Linked DNA regions of Saccharomyces cerevisiae S288C. The gene in region 1 interacts genetically with each later gene. Each region holds a gene or a part of one and is shown in the gene's direction. Other genes may lie near its edges.

Region 1 (6,549 bases):
ATCATGAATACTCCACTCCAAGCTTGTTTGATACATCACATTCTTGTAAAAATATATGATCCAATTCCTAGGACATCAGAAAATATATCTACTATGGGCGTGTGGCGTAGTCGGTAGCGCGCTCCCTTAGCATGGGAGAGGTCTCCGGTTCGATTCCGGACTCGTCCATTTTAAAATTTCTTTTTTTTTTTTTCTCTTTCCGTATGTAAGCTTTTTTCCTTTTTTTTTTTTTTTTTTTTTTTTTTTTCTTCACTACTTTTCAATGAAACTCTCTTCAAAAGACAGCATGCAGTAAAAGCGCCGATATGAGTGACGACGATTATATGAACAGCGATGACGACAACGACGCCGAAAAAAGATACGTAAGGCCAATTTTCGTCAGAAAGCGCAGGAGAGAAGAAGACTACGTTGCAACTAGCAAAGACAACATCCACCACCACCCATGCGATTGGTCCGCGAAACCATCGCAACGTCAAAACGAAAATGAGCAAAAAAGCACCATACGGCTTGTACCAGTGGCGATGAATACGCCGAAGTGTCAAGAGAAAAAAAAGAAAAGAAAGGGCGTTGGTACAACTAGTCATGAGGCTACGCTTTTCGAGTACGGTGAAAGCATAGCAGGCTACAAGTGTGTTACAACCGAGAGCGAAAGAGACCGCTTGAAACGAAGTCATGAAAGCGAAAGCAGCAGTGAAAGCGAGGTAGACGTTTTCGCCTTTGACCAGGCAAAAGGTATCAGCTCTAAGGTTGAAGCCGAAGAACGCTACGCGCGGGCCGTTCGACAGTATTGGCGCATGACCAAAGACGAGCCGGCTACCTTACCACTGCCAGGCACACCTACCCTAGCGGCTGTGAGTTTAGATATGATTGATGACAAAAGCGTAGAACAATTTTACACAATGAGCAGTGCCTTGATGGATGCAAACAGACTAGACTTGATTCGCCGCGATAGAATCCGGTGGCACCCGGACAAACATCGTTATCATAAGTCCAAAGTCACAAAACTGTTTCAGGCCATTAACGGCCTGTGGGAGCAAGAAAAGACCGAGAAAAGGTAATGAAAAAGTGGAACTAGACCCCACGTCAGCGGGCCTAGGCCCTTCAATGTGTTAGAATACACAGCGTGCCTAGTTCCTGGTGCCTGGATCTCGAGGCCGCGGCACTGGAAAAGCCCTTTCTTTTCCAGATCGGGAAACCTAATGAGTCCATAAAAAGAAATGTAGAGGTGGTGTTGACGTTTTGCCGCTTTTGGGCAAGTAGGTCTTTCTGCACGGCCCGGCCCGGGTCGTGCGGAAAAAGAAAAAAGCAGACAAAACAAAATTTTTCCTTTTTTTCGCCTTTGTTTCTCCTGATTCGGGTATATAAGTGAATACCATCTAATGTGTTTCCTTCTCGAGACCTCGGCGTCTCCCAGATCAAAGCTCAGCAAAGATTTTAAACCGCAATTTACGCTCCTTTCATCGGTAACTAAGAAGAAAAAAAAAAAAGTACGACCACACAATTTCCAGTGTATTCATTCCTTAAACTTCGTTTATTTTTTATTCATTCATTCATTTTTATTTGAATATAACCAACTACTAGTCCTTCCTTTAAACAAAAATTTACCCTCCCTTAATTTTTCAAGAAATTCCAGTATGAAATTATCCGCTCTATTAGCTTTATCAGCCTCCACCGCCGTCTTGGCCGCTCCAGCTGTCCACCATAGTGACAACCACCACCACAACGACAAGCGTGCCGTTGTCACCGTTACTCAGTACGTCAACGCAGACGGCGCTGTTGTTATTCCAGCTGCCACCACCGCTACCTCGGCGGCTGCTGATGGAAAGGTCGAGTCTGTTGCTGCTGCCACCACTACTTTGTCCTCGACTGCCGCCGCCGCTACTACCTCTGCCGCCGCCTCTTCTTCCTCCTCTTCCTCTTCCTCCTCTTCCTCTTCTTCCTCTGTTGGTTCTGGAGATTTTGAAGATGGTACCATTTCCTGTTCTGATTTCCCATCCGGACAAGGTGCTGTCTCCTTGGACTGGTTAGGTCTAGGCGGCTGGGCTTCCATCATGGACATGAACGGTAACACCGCCACCTCTTGTCAAGACGGATACTACTGTTCTTACGCTTGTTCTCCAGGTTACGCTAAGACCCAATGGCCTTCTGAACAACCTTCCGATGGTAGATCCGTTGGTGGTTTATACTGTAAGAACGGTAAATTATACCGTTCCAACACCGACACTAACAGTTTGTGTGTAGAAGGTCAAGGCTCTGCTCAAGCTGTTAACAAGGTCTCCGGCTCCATTGCTATCTGTGGTACCGATTATCCAGGTTCTGAAAACATGGTCGTTCCTACCGTAGTTGGCGCTGGTTCCTCCCAACCAATCAACGTCATCAAGGAGGACTCCTACTATCAATGGCAAGGTAAGAAGACCTCTGCCCAATACTACGTTAACAACGCTGGTGTCTCTGTGGAAGATGGTTGTATCTGGGGTACTGAGGGTTCCGGTGTCGGTAACTGGGCCCCAGTTGTCTTGGGTGCTGGTTACACTGATGGTATCACTTACTTGTCCATCATTCCAAACCCAAACAACAAAGAAGCACCAAACTTTAACATCAAGATCGTTGCCACCGATGGCTCTACCGTCAATGGTGCTTGCTCTTACGAAAATGGTGTCTACTCTGGCTCTGGCTCTGACGGTTGTACTGTTTCAGTTACTTCTGGTTCTGCTAACTTTGTCTTCTACTAGGCCTTTTTTCCTTGAATATTGCAAATAAGCTTTTGCTAGTACTTTTTTTACTCCGTTCATTTTATGGTTTATTTTTCAATTAGTTCGTTTTTCCACAATACAAAAAAACACAGTCCTTTGTACTATCCCTTTTATTTCATTATTTTTTCTTTTTTAAGATACCACTAGATATTATCATATATAGCATATTATATAACATAAAAAGTCAAGAAAAAAAATGTTTTTATCACTTTCTATAACTGCATATCTTTTTTTGCATTTCGAATGATTGCTTACACATCGCCATGCTGGGATTCCTCCTCTGGTGGTGAGACAAATGGACCTGCTAATTCCAATGCAGGTTCGTCAATGTTGTGGTGAGCGTATGACAAAACACCAATCCCACCGGCGTCCAGTAAGAAACATGGATTGTCTACCAAATGTCTGTAAGATTCCAATTTCACATATGGAACTGTGTCGTCATCATAAGATTTGACATTTTGAATTTCTTCAATCGTCTCACACTTCTTTTGCACACCCAGTCCAAACCAAATAGCAGCAAAATAACGCAATGCATGTCCGTGCGCAAAGACCATGATGTCTGATGCTCTGCCCTCACTCTGGTGCTTGCGGTGCAAGTTCTGGATTCTGGCAATAGCGCGGGAAAGTCTCAACCCAATTTGCTGAGTAGTCTCACCGTTCTCACACCCATCTCTCCAGATATTCCATGGCCTCTCCTTGTCCAAACCGCGTGACTTTCTCAATTCAATGATTTCTCGAGTCAGCATTCCCTCGTAGTCACCGTACTCCCACTCTCGCAAGTCGTCGTCTACCACCACACGGATCTTAGCTCTTTGCTCGTCGCTTAATGGTTTCAAAACCAAATCCACAGTTTGCCTGGCACGCAAACGTGGAGAGGTGAAGATATAAGTGATGTTGTCTGGATTCAAAAACTGATTATTGCGGAAAACACTCTCACCGGTCCTCAACATTTGGCCCTCACCGTAGGGCGTTAACGGTAGATCTGTCAAACCAGTATACTGGCCTGACTTGGACCATTCAGTTTGACCGTGTCTGACAATGATACATCTGGGGGTTAGCGAAGGCATTGTTGCTTGCAATTAAGTGTAGGTGTTTCCCTATCCACTTAGCTATGAACAAAATGTGCTTATCTGAGCTAATATTTTTTCATTTTTGTCCTATAAATAATAATGGAAAAAAAAAACTCATCGCGTGGTTGAACAGAAAAAAAACAATAAGAGTGAGTAAGCAGTGAAAAATGTAAGATTTACGCTTTATATAAGCAGATTTTGGTTTCCTTTATATATTTTTGCATTTGTCTATCCTTAACATTGGATAGCAATTTGGCGGTGGGTAGTTTATAACGTGTGTGCTCTCTCTTTAAGTAACGATGTCAAGAGATGTAAGGGCAGAGAAACTAGCCATATCACTATTGATTTTATCATTGTTTCTAATATTCCAATTAGTGGCTGAGATTTATCTCAATAATGGTGATCAGTACCATACAGAGACTAGCCCCTTTACAAGAGGAAGATCACATGTAACGCGTGTGCCCAACCATGATGCTAGTTTATCTATACCGTTTTTGGACAAGATCAACCAGTTTTGGCATGTAGGCGGTGCCACGCAAATTAGGAATATTCAGTCGATCAAATTGACTCAGGACCGTGATCAAGATAAACATGGATTAGTATTGTCCAATGGAATTGGCGACAACACCATCAATGACTTTGAGATTGTTTTCACTTTCAGAATTTCTCACGACCCCACTACACAACTCACTGGTGATGGAATGTGTTTTGCCATTACGCCCGAAAATGGGTTTCTCACACAGAATTTACAGTCGTCGTATGCGAAAAAGCAATACATGATGAATTCTCAGGGCGTCATAGCCGATAATACAGATCTGATGGGCTTCCCGAAAAATCTGCCTGGCCTATTTATTGTCTTGGATACGTATCGCAACCAAGGCCACGACCATAAGGAGGTACCCTTTATGGATGTGTTTATAAATGTGGCCCCAGAAAGCGATTGGTACGATATAAATAGTGATGGTGAACTCAGTACATCGCTGCGGCTTAATTCAAGAGGCCACATAAAACTCAAGAAAAATGCCCTGTGGAATCGAGTCACGAAACTAAGAATAATATATTTGGAAAGTATAAGCTTCCTGAAGATCGACGTGCAGTACGCAAAAGAGGGAAACTACTGGATTGAGTTATTTCAAACAACCGAAAATCTGTACTTGCCGAAAAACATGCACACGGGGCAAAGATACATTGGCTGTAGCGCATTAAATGGCCAATTAACGGAGACAGTGGAGCTGCTGGACGTATCCACTAGCGAATTCCATTGGAACGACATGGATGCGTCCATTGAGGACACCTATGATTACGCAAAGGAAGCTGAGCTATTCCTGGAGCAGGAATTTGGCGAGGTCCTTGACAGGGAACCCGATGAGTTCACCAAATGGAAAATGATCAAAGCTCAACCAAACATCAAGACTGGGTCACAGTCAGCTGAACAGAAAACTTCAAACAATCCTCACTCTCGGTTGTTCAAGGTCGTGCTGACCATATGGCATTATAGCGAGATTTTGCTATTGATCATGGGCATTTATCTTTTTTCTGCTTGCATAAGAGTTTTCCAAAGAAGGTTCAAAAAAATTAGATCCAGAAGAAAAAGGGCAGGCTCGCATTCTGTGGGGCTATTGCCCATGTAGCATTGCATAGGCACGCACATACATACATACACAAATAATACAATATAGGACGTTCATCTTAGGTAGCCAATTCACGGTCTTCTTGTGGTAGTGTTACTTGCGTTCGACGGCGGGAGGGTTCTTGATCGATCCAATATACTCTGTGGTGGGATGGCCAGAACGCTAGAATTCGTCTCAAACGTCCTGTTAGAGAATATTGTGGGCCTCGTAGACTGTATTGAATGAATGTCCGAGAAAGTAGACGACTTCACTGACGAGGAACAAAACGATACTAGCGGAATAACACTTGCGTTGTCGTTTTGTTGTTGCTGCTGTTGCTGCTGCTGCTGTCTTACTTTGCCTGTTGGTGGTTCATCCCATGCCACTCGACGGTCTCCTTCGTCATCGGATTCGCTCGAATGCAACGAATTTCGATCAACCAATGGTCGCAACGACGAACTGATGGTTGTTCCATCCGGATCCAACTCAGCACGCTTAACTCTTGTGGGGCCAGCCCTAGTGCCGCGTCTTGGTTTACTGCTCGAGACCGATGCGTTAGTTGTGGTAGTGGTGTTTATTATTTTTTTAACCCACACTGAAAGTTTGTTTCTTCTTCCCTGGGATGTATGATGACTGTTTGACATGCTAGGACTTTCCCTTGGCACCATGTATATTCACTTTTATTGTCTCTTGATCGAGCTATAACCAAATTTTTTTTTTTTTTTTTTTTTTTCGTTTTTATAATTTTTTCTTTGGTATTCAATTGTATATAGTGCTCAAACAGCAACGTACATAATAGCTAGCAAACAATAGATGAAATAATAGAATAATAACAAATAACTATATAAGAGTGGCAGGAAAAAAAATCAGGCGCACGATTAGCGCAAAACCAAATTACTAATTGGTCGACACAGCCGCGGGCTTAGAATTGGTTTGGTCTTCTCTTGAGGCCTTTAGCTTCTCAATGGTGGCATTGCCCAAGTCCAACCCGGTGGATACAATGGCTTTAGGGACGCTTTCAGATTTACTTAGATTGTTTTCATAGACAGTGGTGAAGCGTTGGTAGGTTTCGTTAAGCTTAGTCTTTGTTGGGTCGATGTACACAGACTGCAACTT
Region 2 (7,196 bases), on another chromosome or scaffold:
GTAAATATCTCCTCTCATCATACAGCTCAAAGGCGTCTGCTAATATTCTGAATGCCCTAGGGATTTGGGGGTGGCTCTATCATTCAAAATCAACGACTTTGACAGCTCCTACGTTAGCAAGAGAGCTGAAGAACAAAAATAATATTCTACCGAACACAATGCGAATAGGATCACCAGTGACTGTTCCAATTTTAACTGAACTGTATAGAAGCCTTTTATCTTCGAGTTCTGTTTCACTGGAAAGTGGTCAATTCAAGAATTGTCTTCTTGATTTATATTACAAGTACAAGAGTTTTCTTTCCGAGGAAGCTCATAAATACAGGTATTGGAGAAATGATACCGGAATCCTCAATGTTTTCCTAAATTATATTAGATTCCAAGCTCGTGAACCAAGGCTGGCCTACAATGTTCTTCTGGATTTTTATTCTCAACCTTTCGCCAAAAAAGTGGTTTTAACTACCACGCTATGTCCCTTTTCCATAGTAGCCTATAAAAATCATACATTAACGCAGGCTGAACTATCAGAATTGCTACAGGTGATGCATAAAAATGGGGTGCCTTTAACGTTTAAATTTTGTTCTGCAATGGTAATGCATTATGTCAAAATGAGAGACGAAAAAGGAGCACGCTCCTGGTACAATAAGATACTCTTCGGGGGCTTTGAAATCAGGCATATGGCTTTGATACAGATAATAAAAGACCAAGGCTGGCCGTTTCCCAAAAACTTTGACGAAACTTTACTGACGGAATTGGTGGAAAATAATAACATTAAAGAACCTACTGATAGCACCCTGTTTACTGACGAAGATATGTTCGAAGAAGATGGCAAGCCTAGATTTAATGATGATGATGTTAATAAATGTACAAATATTATAAGAGAGACGTTGAAAAGTCTAAATTAATATCCAGATGAGCACTAGTAAATAGTAAATATTCATTCATAGATAGTAATTTACCCATAAGTTATTAATACCTACAAAGTTTTTTCATAAGTTTATGAATATGTCTTCTTGGCCCATGGTTACTTTATTACCTCTAATACCTTATTTACTTTCTCAAATAAATGAGCCCTTGGATTTCATTTACTGAGAATAAAAAAAAGTACCGTGCTCGGCAAAAATGCTCCAGGGGAGGTTCGAACTCTCGACCTTCAGATTATGAGACTGACGCTCTTCCTACTGAGCTACTGAAGCTTTGTTTTGTACAGACGTTACATCTCAGAATGGGATACGTCAGCATGACAATACATTATCCTGAACGTTCATAGAACACATATGAAACCTAAGAAAACGAACAGATTGAGCAACATGAGGTAAAACTCCGCCTTCTATAGCTGGGCTATCTAAACGTATAAATGCCTGAACAATTGGTTTATGAGAAATGGGTGTATTTTGAGAGACTTGTTGGGATTCCATTGTTGATAAAGGCTATAATATTAGGTGTACAGAATATACTAGAAGTTCTCCTCGATGATATTGGAATCCTCTAAATGGAATCTATATTTCTACATACTAATATTACGATTATTCCTCATTCCGTTTTATATGTTTCATTATCCTATTACATTATCAATCCTTGCACTTCAGCTTCCTCTAACTTCGATGACAGCTTCTCATAACTTATGTCATCATCTTAACACCGTATATGATAATATATTGATAGTACAACTATTAGTTGATAGACGATAGTGGATTCTTATTCCAACAGTTTAGATCCAAGGTTCCGCGCTTCCACCATTTAGTATGATCCATATTTTATATAATATATAGGATAAGTAACATTCCGTGAATTAATCTGATAAACCGTTTTGACAACTGGTTACTTCCCTAAGACTGTTTATATTAGGATTGTCGAGACACTCCGGTATTACTTGAGCCCGTAGTACAGCGCAGGCCTCCAGAGTTGAATTATTCTAAATTCCTGAATAATAACAATTTTGCAGACAAAATTCAGGCAATAACTCAAAAGAGTAATCTTTCACTGCATTTAAGGCGCTAAGATTCCCGCCAAAAGTAGTCGTCACAAAAGAACGTATATAAAATGCACTTTCGAGCGGTGACAATGTGAGAAATAGGTAAATATTGAGACAATTGTTGGGATTACCCTGTTTCTCATCTTTTATGTCATCTTTTTACACCGTATATGATAATATGCTAGTCGATAGATGGTGGTCGATTCTTCTTCCTGTATACAAATATATGAGTTGGGGATGTATATTGCAAAGAGCTTGATTATGACACATTGCCAGACCAAAAAACAAATCTCTTTCTATAATGTTCCCAGGTGGGCTAATTTTTTAAATAACGACGGCAGTATATTGATATTGGAGAGAGTTGTATTTATTGTTCGATATTTATTTTGATATCAGCTTTATATTGTAAGTGTTCAATATTTTAATTAGTGTGTATTTTGTAACTTTACTGCCAATTATCAACATAATTACAAAATTGTTATAAAAATTGATGCACTAGTGTTTCGGTTCTTGCTCTTTTAACCAACCGAGCCTAAAAAAGAGGCTCTTGAAAGTAATTTAACCCAAACAATGAGATCTTCATTCTTTTTTTTTTTACCTCAGCTATGACTTGCAGTGCTTTGTATCATACCGCTCGTTTGGTCGTGCTATTTGCAACAATGAACCTCGTTACCCCGAACAAAAAAAAATGAGATATTGAACGCCGCAGCTCATCATGGTAGAATGATGCAGCTAATACCAAAATAAGTTATATTTAGAATGTTGGACATATCAGTTGCATTAGACTAATCGTTCTAGAAGGATACAGAACTTGGAAAGATCTTTGAACGTATCGTAACTGCGTGCTTGCTTTATTTGCCGTTGATTTTTGCTATGACATGCCTAATTTTATGGTATCTGTGGCTCATATCAACTTTTCAGTTAGAGTTTGCAACGGCTAGTACTGCAAATACAACAACTACAGCAAAGTCTGGAACCTCTTCGTCAACGGAGGAGCCGTTTCCTGTACTAGCCGTGGGTAAAGATGGTAGAGGAAACTACTATGTTAATAGCACATTTGGCACTCCCGGTCAACGCCAACGTTTGCTAGTGGATATTATCCAACCGTACATAAATCTGGTTTCCGGAACAAGCGAAAGTCATAACGAATACTCCGGTGTATATCATAAGCATCCCAGCTACCTCATGAATGACTCTACATCATCTGTTCCTGTTTCTCCTGGCCAAATATATGAGATTTCTTTCATTGATGGTAGAGCTGTTAACTGTACTTTGGTGACAGACGATATGAATTTTACAAATGTTTCCTCAGAAAATTCCTCGACCGCTTTGATAACCGATTTAATGGTAACTCGAGATAACGTACAATTTAACTCGGGGAGCCTATCCATTTCAAACGTTTCCTTCTTTGATATTCAGTCCTCGAACTTTAAGACTTCAGGCTTGTTAGGTTTAAGCGGGAAGGTCACAAACCCAGGCAATGCTATCGATAGCTCACAATACACAGAACAGTCTTATTTTCTATCCTTATTGAAAGATGCAGATATCATTGAAAGTTCGTCATATTCACTGTGGTTGGCTGGAGACACTTCCACGTACAAAACATATAGAGATCCAATATCTAATTGTGGGAAGCTACTTCTTGGAGGGGTGGATCCTTCGCTGTTTACCGGTACACTGGGAAAATTTGACTTAATTCCTTACGTTGACCCAGTGAGTAATGCTGTTAGTGTTGGGTACCCAATTGTGCCATTAGGCCCTATTTATATTGTGTCTAACAGCGGACAAAGTTTGAATATGACTTCGAAGGACTTTCTGAGCCCAGCCTTACTTGATTCAACTTCTTCGGTCAGTTACCTGCCAACTAGTACCATTATTCAGATTGCCGTTCAAATTGCGGCCACTTATGTGGAATCACTAGATAGGTGGCTAGTCCAATGTTCTATAGCAGATATGGGTGTCTCCTTGGGTTTCAGGCTTCGAGAATTGACAATTGAAATACCCCTACGTGATTTATTATCATCTACTTACGATACATCCACCAATTCTTCAATGTTTTTCAGTTCTGGACAGGAAGCTTGTTTTCTAACACTATACGCTAATACAAATACTGGAGTAAACATACTCGGAGAAGCCTTCATAAAAAATATATATATGGCAATGGACTTAGAGGATAACACTATAGCCATTGCACAGGCAAAGAAGGTTGAAGATGACGCAGTTACTGAAGAGACAAATGAAACTACCGCGTCCACTATCATCAAGAAGATCAAATCTGGTTACATTCCTTACGCAAAAGTGATGAATAGTAGTAATACAAGAAACTTGACTCTTTATCCATCCTATAGGTCAGGCTATATGTTCACTGTCCCAGGTCAACTGACAGCAGCATACTCAAACGGTGTGATTACAGGTGCGGGCCGGTCATTCTATGATACTTCAAGAGCAAGCACAAGTGCTAGACCATCCAGTACTCAATTCGACAGCTTTTCTGTGTCAGCCTCAGAAGAGTGGTCAAATTCAACTAATAGAACCAGCAGTGCTTCGGGAGCAGGCGTTCGATTGAGCAGTCCTTATACATTTAACAAAGATCCAGCTGGACATGTAACTCGTATAGCTTCCTTGCTACTACTTTCGATATTCTCGATACTTATTGTTCTTTGAATGGTTTTAACAAAAGTTCATAACATAAAACCTTTTTCTCCTTGACCAATGCACGTATAACATCATTATATAGCAGATTTAATAACAACATACTTAAAAGTATATATGCGTCATTCTTATCCAGTTGTGTAGAAGCTAGTACTTGTGATCAACCATTGGCAGCCATCTCAAAGAATCGTCGTGCACGGAGCGTAAATCGCGTTACTTTTTTTTTTGTTTTTTTTCCCGCCTCGAGGTTGGTTCAACAGCAGATCATGGTGACTGGCGATAGGTTATTCACTAGAAAATGAAGATACTCTTTCTTGGGAGGTAACTCTGTAAAATTTCTAATTTGTATTTTATAGTGTGTAGAATCCGAAATATATCCGATCTACCTCGCTCTTTTTATTGTTATTTTTATTCGAGGAATTTAAGTGTTTTGCAGACCTATCCCTTCGAACACGTAACGTCATTTTACCATAATCTTCGACTGCTTAATTGTTGATACATTGTAGGTTCCATTACACTTTGCCAGCATTTTCCATTTTTAGAAAAATTGATACATATACGCAAGATTTAGCATGGAGAATAGAAACAGTAGTACCTCTAGTAGGCCATTTTCTGTTAATAACCCGTTTAGAAATGCCACAGTTGATTCAAGTATTAATCAGTATAAAAATGACTCCCAGTTTCAGGAGTGGGCGAAAAACCAATCTCGTACCAATTCATTTGATATGCCACAATTGAACACAAGAACTTCTTCACAATTATCATTCCCAAACATTCCAGAGGATGAACCCCAGCGAAACGCAGATCAGCAGGGTGCTTTTTATTCTGGTTTGGAGAGCTTTAGTAGTGGTAGTTTATCACCACCTTCGAGACCTCTTTCCTCAAAGAATCCTTTCCTAGACGATGTGAGTTCTGCAACCGATTTTAGAAGGTCTCCCCCACCTGTTTCAAGGAATAAAAATCATCCCACTGCTAAAGAAGAAAAAGAACAATTAAGGCAAAGATATTTGGAGGAAAGTGACGTAAGTACAGTAGGTAACACAAGAGAAAACACTGACCTACCACCCTCATACGAAGAGATCACTTCAACCAATGGATCAAGGCGTGCATATCCAAAGGAAAAGGTTTCTCGTCCTTCTTCTCACCGCGAACATAGCAACAGCGGCACATATATTTCACGCAGATCTTCATCCCACCATCACCGTGAAGCTTCCTCATCTTCAACGCCTTCTAAGAAGGGAAAGAGAAAAAGTAAGGTTATTGTTCCTAAGAACGTCGATACTATCGATAAGTTAGATGTAACTGGATTGTTCGGTGGCTCATTTCATCATGACGGCCCATTCGATGCAGTAACACCTCATAGAAATAAAAATAACAAAGCTGCGCCTGTTTTAGCATTTCCGGTCGATGGTCCAAACAGTACCATCGGTGGCGCTTCAACCAAGAAGTCTGCCCTGGATGAGGTTTTTGGGAGAGATGATACAGATGATTCTGATATATACCAGTACAGTTCGCAGACTCTAAGGAGAGGTGGTGATACGCAGGACGCAATAAAAGCAAACGTGGGTAACGTCCAACAAATGGATGCCAAAAATAAGACAGAATTGGTTCATGGGCCAGTTACTGCGGGATTAGGTTCTAGTACGTTTTTAGATGGGGCGCCGGCCTCCTCAGCTGCCATTAGAAACGACATAAAAGCCCATTCCTATCATAATCGTAACGGTGGTTTACAAAGAAATAAGTCACTTTCTCAACGATTAGGTCTCGGAGGATCCGGTGATAGCAATGCCCCCATGACAGGCGTTAGAAGAAACTTGAGTTTAAGTAGAGACAACTATGATGTTGGTCACAGCAATGAAGGTGTTAGAAGGTCGAAAACCGTTAATTCTCCTAACAGAACGCATAAGTCCAATTATACTACTGATTTCGACGGCCAAGATGATCACAATGAAGATGAGGAAGACGTTTATTTGGGTGTGCGCTACAATGAGCCCAATATGAAAAAGAAATCGACGGGCAGCAAATTACTGAGCAGAGTAAAAAGTCTAAAGGTCGGCAGGAAAAGTCAGTAAAGTGAGCTTAAAAGAGAGAAAAGAAGCTATGAGACACCAAAGCCAGGCAAATAAAAGGGAGAGATACGAATAAAAATAATTTAAGACCACGTTATATACACATTACGAATAGTTTGACTTTATATATTTACAGAGACTACCAACTTATATCAAAAGGAAAAAATTCCCATTACCAGTTTCATTCATAACGTGTTGAATGCTTGGATCTTAGTACGTTGAGGTAACCTTGACTCTACAATTTTCCATTCTATAGAGTCCCATACCCTTTCTAAATATTCTCGTTTCCCAAATACGCCATAATCAGTTAACCATGTTTTTGGTGACGCATCAATGGCTAAAAGCGGGATATATGAAACCTCTTTCCCAGAAAAACCTTTCTGTTGGGTTTCATAAATAAATTTTGTCTTGGCTTGCTTGGCAGTCATCTCAGAATCTTCAAGATTACCGGCTTCTTTGGCTCGTTGTTTTTCCATGTTGGTATATTGGTTATTGAGCTCATT
Region 3 (5,953 bases), on another chromosome or scaffold:
ATTCCGCCCACTTACTACTTTTCATGTGTTAAATAGTACGCATAAACACGAGATCTGACTTCGATTGTTTCCTCGTCTTCGTCAAACATCGGTTTCCAATTAACCATTTCAATTAGCTGAGGAACCAAATGGAACTCGTTCTTAGCCAATTCGAAGAATTCTAAATCCTTCTCCAACAATTTTGGTCTATGCGGTGAAAATACTACCAACGCCTGACCTTTCTCAGCTAATAAATCCTTTGTTGTTTGAAGTAATTTGTGATGTTCCGTATGATTGAAGACTAAATCACTTAAAATGATTAAGTCAAACTTTCCATTATTGTTACCTATTTTTTCGATATGTGCCAACAATGGAGAATAATCGTTTCCCCAAATATAACCCTCCGTACTGACATTATTAAAATCTTCAGGAACGTTAGACTTTATATTATAATCGATGTTCTGCATTAAATCAGGATCTGGATAATCAGTTGAAACAACCATTTGAGCCCCATTCAAAGCACAAATAACGGAAGGTAAAGCAGCAGCAGCACCCAATTCTAAAACAGTCTTCCCCTTTATTAATTCTGGATGAGAATCCAAGTGATTTGCGGTGTATATTCCTGCATTCCACAAGAGATGACCCCAAAGTGGTGACGTTCCAACGAGACGGAGTTTGATGTCTTTAACATCTGATTTGGACTCTTTTGTGATGTGTGACCTTTGATATTCTGCAAAATGAGGTTTTGGTGGAGGAGGAAGAAAATCCTCTGGCTCCTCAAATAAACCTGCTGCCTCTCCCAATGATTCTATATCTGACATACGTTTACACGCCTTATTTATTGCGATAATGCTCGAAGTATTTCGTCATCTGCAACTGTTCTTTTTCCTGATTTTAGATTTTAACTTCTCGTCATTTTGAAAAATAAAATAAATGCGGCACGAAGGAAAGAATCTGAAATTGGCGACGGGCATAAGAAATATTATTCCGAAAGGCTGTAGCAGTGACCGTTTCTCTTTTACCCCAAGAGCGGTTAATAAAAGTGAAGCACTATATATAAGAACTGAAAGATGAACATATGGATAGATAATTGGAGTGTATGGCACAAATTGCTCGCACAGTAAAGGAAGGAAGAACAATATGTCGCAAGAAATTAGGCAAAATGAGAAAATCAGTTATCGTATTGAAGGACCATTCTTCATTATTCACTTAATGAACCCTGACAATTTGAATGCACTAGAAGGTGAAGACTATATTTATTTAGGAGAGTTACTAGAACTAGCGGACAGAAATCGTGATGTATATTTTACAATTATACAAAGCAGTGGTAGATTTTTTTCCAGTGGTGCTGATTTCAAGGGTATTGCAAAAGCCCAAGGGGATGATACCAATAAATATCCTTCGGAAACAAGCAAGTGGGTGTCAAATTTTGTCGCTAGAAATGTTTATGTCACTGATGCCTTCATCAAGCATTCCAAAGTTTTAATTTGCTGTTTGAATGGACCAGCAATAGGGTTGAGCGCGGCACTGGTAGCGTTATGTGACATTGTGTACAGTATAAATGACAAGGTTTATTTGCTATACCCCTTTGCTAACTTAGGACTAATTACCGAAGGTGGTACAACGGTCTCTTTGCCATTGAAGTTTGGCACAAATACGACGTATGAATGCCTCATGTTCAACAAACCATTCAAGTACGATATAATGTGCGAGAACGGATTTATAAGCAAGAATTTTAACATGCCATCTTCAAACGCTGAAGCGTTCAATGCAAAGGTCTTAGAAGAATTGAGGGAGAAAGTGAAAGGGCTATACCTGCCCAGTTGCTTAGGGATGAAAAAATTGCTGAAATCGAACCACATCGATGCATTCAATAAGGCTAACTCAGTGGAAGTAAATGAATCTCTCAAGTATTGGGTAGATGGAGAGCCCTTAAAAAGATTTAGGCAGCTGGGCTCGAAACAAAGGAAGCATCGTTTATGACGTCCGCTTTCTCAGTGAAACAAAACGCACACACAATATACTTATGTACAGACAATATGTATGCTAATTAATCTATATCATGTTGATCTTGAGGGAAGGTAGTATCAATGTCTTCCTTTGGTGCTAAAATTTCAGGTTCCTCAGGTTCCTGTAAACCTGGGCGTTCCTTCTTAGATGCGCTTACACCGATCATAATCGAACAAACAAGGACTAATATTACCAAAAGACCGCTTCTGGTTGTCTGCCATCTTAAATTTTCGATATGTGACCTGATATCCCCCAGTATCTTGGTTTGAATCTTGTTAGAACAGTCGTTCAATTTCAGGTTTAATTGTCGATACAAAAGGGTGTTTTCTAATTTTTGATTGTTAAATTCTAATTTAGCGTCCTTTTGCAAAAGATCTATTATGATTTCATTCAGTTCATCATGGATTGAGTTAAGTTCTCTCTTGAGTTTTAATAATTGCAAGTGGTGCTCATTTAGTTGCGTGTCTCTAGAGTTTTGAATTGCGAATTTCAATTCTGTTTCTAGCGAGCTGAACAAATGTGATTGTTTATTCAGCTCCATATCCCTTAAGAACAAATCATTGTAACAGGAATAAAACTGATCATTTAGTAGTTGCAACAATAGAGCTATGATAATTTTACATTGTTCATCGGAAAAATTGCCTCTTTCACGAAGCATTTGATAAAACTTTATAGTATCCAATTGATTTTGTGAAGTAGTAGGTTTCAATCCATTGCCCTGAGTAATAAAGTCCTCTGAAAATCTGTCTAACAGGCCAATGGAGTGCTTTCCTTCGTTTTCCTTCTCTGGCTTCTCCTGCTTCTCCTTGTTCTTGGATAATGGCGATGAGGATAGGTCTGATAACTGGATATTTTTCAATGACATTGATTTCTGCAAAAGTGGTTTTGAATACGAACTAAAGCACCGCAAACACAACAACGAGCCTTGCCGCCGTATTCTAGTTTTGAAGCATCGAAGCGGCAATGTACGTATTAACCGCATCATTAGTCTATTAGATGTTCAGAGTTTACATGTATACATAAACCTCTTCCATTCTTCCTTTATCGATAAAATTACTATACACTTAACTAAACTGTGCATTTTCCCCGGACTACCATAGCGCGCTATACGTTCCTAGAACGGATATGAGTTTATATATAAGTCTATGCTACCAACCTACAAGCTATGCGACCCTGGAAAAAGCGCAGAAGAATCCGAGACTAGTAAACTATGATGAGGGGAGCGAGTAAGAGGTCAATCAGCAGTGCCGCAGTGCTGCTGATTAAAAAGAACAAGCTACCACCGCGACCAAAGTTCACGCCAGAGATGGAAGCACAATGCACTGAGAAATTCCTTCATGGCGGCAGAGGGCCCGGTGGCCAAAAGATTAATAAGTGTAATTCTAAGGTACAACTACGGCATGAACCCACTGGGATCGTTGTCGAGTGCCAAGAAACGCGGTCACGTGAGCAAAATCGAAAGCTTGCCCGGCTTAAGCTCGCGCGCGAACTTGCGGCGTCGTACGACACGATGCCGTCCAGAGAGGAGGCGCTTCTACAGTGGCACCGTCAACAGAAACGCTCGCAGCGCCGGCGCAGCGTCGCGAAGTACGAGCAGCGTGAAGAGGCCGCTCGAGTCGAAAAAGAGGAACGCGAGGCCCGAGACAGAGAAATGGTGCGCGAGTTATTCCGCCGGTAACCGCAGGTGAAATTAGATGGAGGAGAAAAGAAAAAAAAAAATGAAAAAAAAAGTGTAACTTTGCTAAAATTTTCACCTGCGGGTACCGTCGGTCAAGACGTGGGTTGCGAACAAAAACCCTGGAACAACAATACATTGAATAGTTCCTGCTCCTGCACACTGCACGTTGAGACCTGAATCGCATCGTGTGGTGCTTATACGCTAATCTTTGTTAGCGGACATACTTTTTCTTTTTCTTTTCGCCTTTTCTTAGTATCTTTCTTGGATTCTTAACTATTTTGCTTTTTTTAGTCATTCATTATATATGGTTCTTTAGATCGGTCGTTCCATTAACATTTTTTTTTTTTTTTTTTTACACGTCAATAGTATAACTTACTCCCCACCATTTTTCCACTCTTTCATAAAGACAAGTGTATTTCACGTACTCATAATCTTCGGGCTAACTACCAACAATACACGTAAATAATAATGGGCCGTCCAAGGAAGAATGTTAGCCAGGAGAAAATACAACAGTTGAAGAGAGAACTGGAGCTGGCCGGTAACAGGACAGACGTCTTGTTGCAAGACAAAAAGGGCCGTTCCAGGTCTTGTCTTCTTTGTAGAAGAAGAAAGCAACGATGCGACCATAAATTACCCAGTTGTACCGCCTGTTTGAAAGCAGGAATAAAGTGCGTGCAGCCCTCCAAGTACTCTTCTTCCACTTCGAACAGTAACACCAACAACAACACCCCTACAGCTGGCACTGTACCTCCTACACCTCATCCTGTAATAAAACGTGAGCTGCAAGATAGCAGTATTGGCGCTGGCGCTGGCGCTGCCACTTCTCTGAATGACATGACGATAATAAAACCCATTTCCACTAGCAATAGTAATGTTGATGCTGGCGACGCGAATGAATTCAGGAAAACGATAAAGTCCGTCACGACAAATTCCAATCCAAACCTGATGAGGCAAGACAAAGATCAGTATACGATTTTCTTGGAGAAAAAACTAAAAAGTTTGGAGACTTTGCTCGATTTATCGCCGGGATGCAACCAGTACAACTACGAATTATCCCAGTACAAGAAGGTTTCTCATTTGTTCAGTAACAACACTTCTGATTACTCTAGACCGAACAGCAGCAATATGGTCATACTGCCGCTGCCATCTCCTTCCAACAAACCCCTGGAGAACACAAACAATAACGGCAGCAACGTTAATGCGGCCACTAACGATACATCGGCCAGTACGAACAACATAAACAACAATAATGCTATCTGCCAATCCGCGAGCCTTTTGAATGACCCTTTAGAGACGCTGGACTTCACTAAGTGTATTTTTGCCAAATACAATTTGAAAAAAGAGTTTTTGATGTATGACCCTATTTTTGAACTGAATGAGAAGCTGTCACGTTCCTTCTTGGACACTTTTTTCACAAGATTACAATTCAAGTACCCTATCTTAGACGAACAAGAAATCTATACTTTTTATGACCACTACCTCCACAACAAGATTCTTATCCCACCATCTTCTCCCGCCACGTCTTCCGCAGCACCACCGTCGAATTCACATTCGTATTCTGAAATAGAATTTCATTTTCTATCCGGCAGAATGTGGCTTGTCTTCAGCATCAGCGCCTACTTACTGATGACCACAGGTAAGTACAAGGGGTTTCCACCTCACCGATATTTCTCCACCGCTATCCGTCACATCACTAAGTGTGGTCTACATTTGAATTATGTTCAGCAAATAGAACTGTTGACATTGCTTGTCCTTTACATTATTAGGACTGATAGAGATTCTCTGATACTATATGACATAATCAAGGATGTCATGGGCATATCCAAGAAGAAACTTCATCTAAATCAATGGTATCCTAATGATCCATTTGCAAATAAGAAACTGCGACTATTTTGGTGTGTTTACCTGTTGGAAAGAATGATTTGTGTTGCTGTGGGGAAACCTTATACAATCAAGGAGTCGGAAATAAATTTACCTCTTTTCAATAACGACTCTTTTTATACAAAAGGTGTGCATGCGGCGGCTCCATCAACCAATGACCATGGTGTGCAATTCATCAATCAGTCTCTAAAGCTGCGAAGAATTGAATCTCAATTTGTAGAGACTTTACAGCTATTGAAAAACGATTCCAGGTCAGTGAAGCAATCCATTGATCAATTGCCCCTAGTACGAAAATTTTTTGAAGATTTGGAAGTTTGGAGAAAAAGTTATTCCACTCTTGACGTGAAAAATTTCGAAAACGAGACACTAAAACTTTATTACTATAGATCAGTGCGATTGCTTATA
Region 4 (4,034 bases), on another chromosome or scaffold:
AGTAGAGACAAAGATTATACCAAACGAAAAGGAGGACGAGGACGAGGACGGCTACATAGAAGAGGAGGACGAGGACTTCCAGCCTGAAAAAGATAAATTAGGTGGTGGTAGCGACGATAGTGATGCCAGCGATGGCGGTGACGACTATGATGACGGTGTGAACAGAGATAAGGGTAGAAATAAAGTGGACTATTCGCGTATAGAGAGCGAGAGCGGCGGACTGATCAAGACTAGAAGAGCTCGGCAAGCTGAGGAAGAATATGCGAAAACACATAAGTATGAATCGTTAACTGTTGAATCGATCCCTGCAAAAGTAAACAGCATCTGGGAGGAGCTACAGGAAGCTAGTAAGAACCGTCTTTTGAGCAGTTCAGGGAAAGTCGGCTCTGTTCTCGACGGTTCCAAGGAGGCTAGGTCGACAACGGCCGCGCAACAGGAGGACAAAATCCTCATCGAAAGAAACTACAAGTTTGCTGGTGAAACTGTCCATGAGAAAAAATGGGTTTCACGCAGCAGTGCGGAGGGTCAAGAATATCTAAACAGTTTGAAATTTAAGCAGCAGGCGCCTGCTGCTCCTGTTCAACTGGAAAAAGCAGTTAGGACCAAGTCCAATGAAAGCCGGCAACACTTGCGACGGCCACTGAAAAGGCCTCCATTGTTGGAGCAGATCATTTCTGGCGGGCTACGACCCAAGCTAACGACATTAGAAAAATCTCAGCTGGACTGGGCTAGTTATGTAGACCGTGCTGGACTTAACGACGAATTGGTGCTGCACAACAAGGATGGGTTCTTGGCCCGGCAAGAATTTCTGCAGCGGGTCGGGTCTGCAGAGGACGAGAGATACAAAGAATTGCGCCGGCAACAACTTGCTCAGCAGTTGCAGCAGGATAGCGAAGCTTCATAGACAAATATTACATGTATTAAATAACATGCTTTTCTGCTCAAATTTTTTTAACCGCCGAGGCCTGCACACTTTCACTACGTGTATAACGATGCTGCAGACAAAGTAATGGGGTGTATGGGTGTGGGTGGCAAAAAAAACCTAGCAACGCTCTATGTTTCTTTTCTTTTTTCTTTCTTTTTTTTTTTTTGCCGTTTCCGATGGGCCACTCGGTGAAAACATATAAAAAGGGCTCTACATTCATTTTTTCATCGATGAGTACTTTACTTGTTATCAGATTTATTCATTTTGTTTCTACTTGTTTTTTTTTTAAATCCCCACGAATCTCTTTGCCTTTTGGCTTAGATCAAGTGTAGTATCTGTTCTTTTCAGTGTAACAACTGAAATGACCTCAATGAGGCTCATTACCTTTTAATTTGTTACAATACACATTTTTTGGCACCCAAAATAATAAAATGGACGGGAAGAGACTTTTTAAGCAAGTTGTTTTCCGCTAATGTCAGGTCTCACTACTTTTTGCTGCTATTTTTCTTCGCTCATGGTTTCTTCATAAGGCGTTTTTATGATGGTTTTTCGAAATTGGTTTTTGAGACGACGGTTGCTCAAGGTTATTGTTTTTGTTTTCTTCTGGTTGTTTTCTATTTTCTTTTTTTTAGCTTTCTGTTTCTCCCTTAGTTTGGCTTTTTGCTTCATACTCTTCCCTGTCTTTCCGAGCCGTTTATGTCCAACGCGGGATTTGGTTTTTCTTTATCGATGGGAAGAAATGGTGCTATAGTAGGTTGGGAGATAATATTTATGGTATGGGGTGCTAGTGCGGATGGGGCGCTCTTATTGTTGATTTCTTCGCTCGTCTTCTTTTTCTGGTGGCGCTGCAAGAGGAAGTTTTTCGACTTTGTTATGATTTTTGGTTTGCAAGGAAAGGTGTCTTACGATTCTTTTTTTGATGTAATAGGATAAGCTTGCTTATCCCCCAAGTATCGGCCAAAGTTGTTGATTTTCCTTTTGAAGTGTCCTCGGTTTGAGGGGGTGTAGGGTGGGGTTGGTCTACAATAAGAGTGTTCCATTGTTAACGTGCTGGCGTCTTTTACTATATTTTTTTTCCCAGTTTATTTTGTGCTTATTTTCTCATTGAGGAGAAGGAGCTCTTCTCGCAGGATATAAATGGAGGTTTGCTAAAGGGGAGGAGATGTGTTTGTGAGAATACTGCTGAGAGAGTTCTGGAAGAGAAAAAAAGGAGGCAATGGAAGGCGTTTGCTGGGAAAAGAGAAGAGCCATGACTGCATCTGTTGTTTCAAGGCCAGTTTTATTAACCGCCTATGTCATAGAGGCGTTTTTTTTGGAGGGATTTGAAGAATGCCGGCGGCATCAAGAAACGGACTTGATGGTTGACGCCTGTTTTTAAAGTTAGAGACGTCGCGACCCTCGCACTTGTGGAGTCGTTCTTGACTTTTACTTTGGTCGCTTGATGTTTCTCTCGTCTTCCCGTTCGCTCTTTTATTTTTTTATTTTTTTTTTCCTTTGACTTCGCATGAATGAGTTCATTCATGAAGCGAAAGGAGAGATTCTATATACCACGCAACCAAATATGTAAGTATATAAAATATATGTATGTGTGTGCACTAATTGGCGGCATACTCTTTCTTGACCCGTTGTGATAGGGCCTTAGCTGCTTCCCATTGCCTGTCCCGAGTCCAGCGACTCAAGACGTTGGACGTGCGCACGTACTCACACATGGCCGAATTGGCCCTTACGAATGAGCTCTTGGCTACCCCTCTTGCTGCACTCGCCACACACCATAACTGGTATAATTCGTTTCTCATGCTAGTCTCTTTTTTTTTTTTTACTTGTTTCCTTTTCCTTTGTTGCTTATCCGCTTTCTCGTTCTCTCCTCTGTTCTTGCCTCAACTCCTCAAATCTCTGCTGTCCCACTTACGTTTTATTTTTTCACCGTCCCCTTTCCCTGCCCTACTACCCCGGGCCAGCGGCCAATGACGCCGCCGCTACCTCCTCTCCCGTTAATCGTCCCTGCGTATATAAAGTGTCGATCAATGTGCCCACTTCAACCGAAACCGCCGACGTAACCCTATTCCAACAATTAGAAACATAACATCTACCTCCAGCATCTCATAATATGTCTGCAACGTATGTACACTAATATCTGAAACGTATCGCCTAATCTTTTCTCCCGGTTCTCTTTTGACTAACGTATATCATCTATGACCATCTTTCTTTTCCCCAGTGCTAAACACGACAGTAACGCTAGCCCAAATTCTGACTCTGAAGACGGTCACCACCACAACAATAAGAAGGAATGCGCTATCGAATATCTGAAGGCACGGTTAAATAGTGCATCAGCAGTCGCTTGCGGCTACCTCCAAGCTTTTGTCAGTAAGACGCAAGACTTTGCCAAAGTATGCTTTTTAGAACTTCAGAATCCCGTTGTCTTGGTCAACTTGTTGCTGCATTCTTCAGTGGTATGTTATTTATGTAACGGGTATGCGAACCACAACGCCAGATTCTTGAAGGGGAAACCTAACTCTACAGTCTTAGCAACAACCGCCGGCGCTCTGGGTCTTTTGACGCTGGACGGTATAATTTCAAAGAAATACTACTCCAGATACGACAAGAAATAATAACATACTATTTAATAACATCCTTTCACACACTCACACACTCACACACTTTATATACATATATTTTTATAACTATTACTGCTGATTTATTTGTAAGGAAACGTGCTTTCCTCTTCATCGGTCAAGTGATAAGTTTCTATAATATAATAGCTTTTCTGTCTACTATCATTCTTTTTTCATTTCAAGTACCCTTAATTTGTTTTACCCGGACCACGACATTTTCTCACTACGGCACTTGAGAGCTATAACTCAATGAACATGTTGCTTGGAGTTATTTGATTGCTCTGCGTATCTTAAAATAGCGGTCTCGAATCAACCGTATGCAACATGGTCCTTTTGAAATGGCTCGTATGCCAATTGGTCTTCTTTACCGCTTTTTCGCATGCGTTTACCGACTATCTATTAAAGAAGTGTGCGCAATCTGGGTTTTGCCATAGAAACAGGGTTTATGCAGAAAATATTGCCAAATCTCATCACTGCTATTACAAAGTGGACGCCGA

What was found.
Region 2: mutations in UTH1 (region 1) and PAL1 together harm fitness more than expected from each alone (negative genetic interaction), as found in Saccharomyces cerevisiae (one large-scale study listed by BioGRID).
Region 3: mutations in UTH1 (region 1) and RSO55 together harm fitness less than expected from each alone (positive genetic interaction), as found in Saccharomyces cerevisiae (one large-scale study listed by BioGRID).
Region 4: mutations in UTH1 (region 1) and OM14 together harm fitness more than expected from each alone (negative genetic interaction), as found in Saccharomyces cerevisiae (one large-scale study listed by BioGRID).

The regions. Positions count from the first base shown.
Region 1 is NC_001143.9:517,893-524,441, forward strand, and holds UTH1 (SUN family protein UTH1), read left to right. Parts: upstream 1-1,634; coding exon 1,635-2,732; downstream 2,733-6,549. Other genes in the region: YKR041W (uncharacterized protein), read left to right, coding at 306-1,058; SHB17 (sedoheptulose-bisphosphatase), read right to left, coding at 3,005-3,820; UIP5 (Uip5p), read left to right, coding at 4,123-5,454; YKR045C (uncharacterized protein), read right to left, coding at 5,526-6,077; PLN1 (Pln1p), read right to left, coding at 6,331-6,549. UniProt on the Saccharomyces cerevisiae protein: Involved in aging, oxidative stress response, and in the regulation of mitochondrial biogenesis.
Region 2 is NC_001136.10:1,169,826-1,177,021, reverse strand, and holds PAL1 (Pal1p), read left to right. Parts: upstream 1-5,196; coding exon 5,197-6,696; downstream 6,697-7,196. Other genes in the region: ATP22 (Atp22p), read left to right, coding at 1-902; YPS7 (putative aspartic endopeptidase), read left to right, coding at 2,846-4,636; mitochondrial 37S ribosomal protein mS43 MRP1, read right to left, coding at 6,879-7,196. UniProt on the Saccharomyces cerevisiae protein: Involved in the early step of endocytosis.
Region 3 is NC_001144.5:702,207-708,159, reverse strand, and holds RSO55 (Rso55p), read left to right. Parts: upstream 1-3,199; coding exon 3,200-3,667; downstream 3,668-5,953. Other genes in the region: NNT1 (S-adenosylmethionine-dependent methyltransferase), read right to left, coding at 15-800; ECI1 (dodecenoyl-CoA isomerase), read left to right, coding at 1,120-1,962; PUT7 (Put7p), read right to left, coding at 2,030-2,974; YLR278C (uncharacterized protein), read left to right, coding at 4,136-5,953.
Region 4 is NC_001134.8:679,049-683,082, reverse strand, and holds OM14 (Om14p), read left to right. Parts: upstream 1-3,032; coding exon 3,033-3,043; intron 3,044-3,140; coding exon 3,141-3,534; downstream 3,535-4,034. Other genes in the region: SWC5 (Swc5p), read left to right, coding at 1-904; COQ21 (Coq21p), read right to left, coding at 2,521-2,721; glucan 1,3-alpha-glucosidase ROT2, read left to right, coding at 3,862-4,034.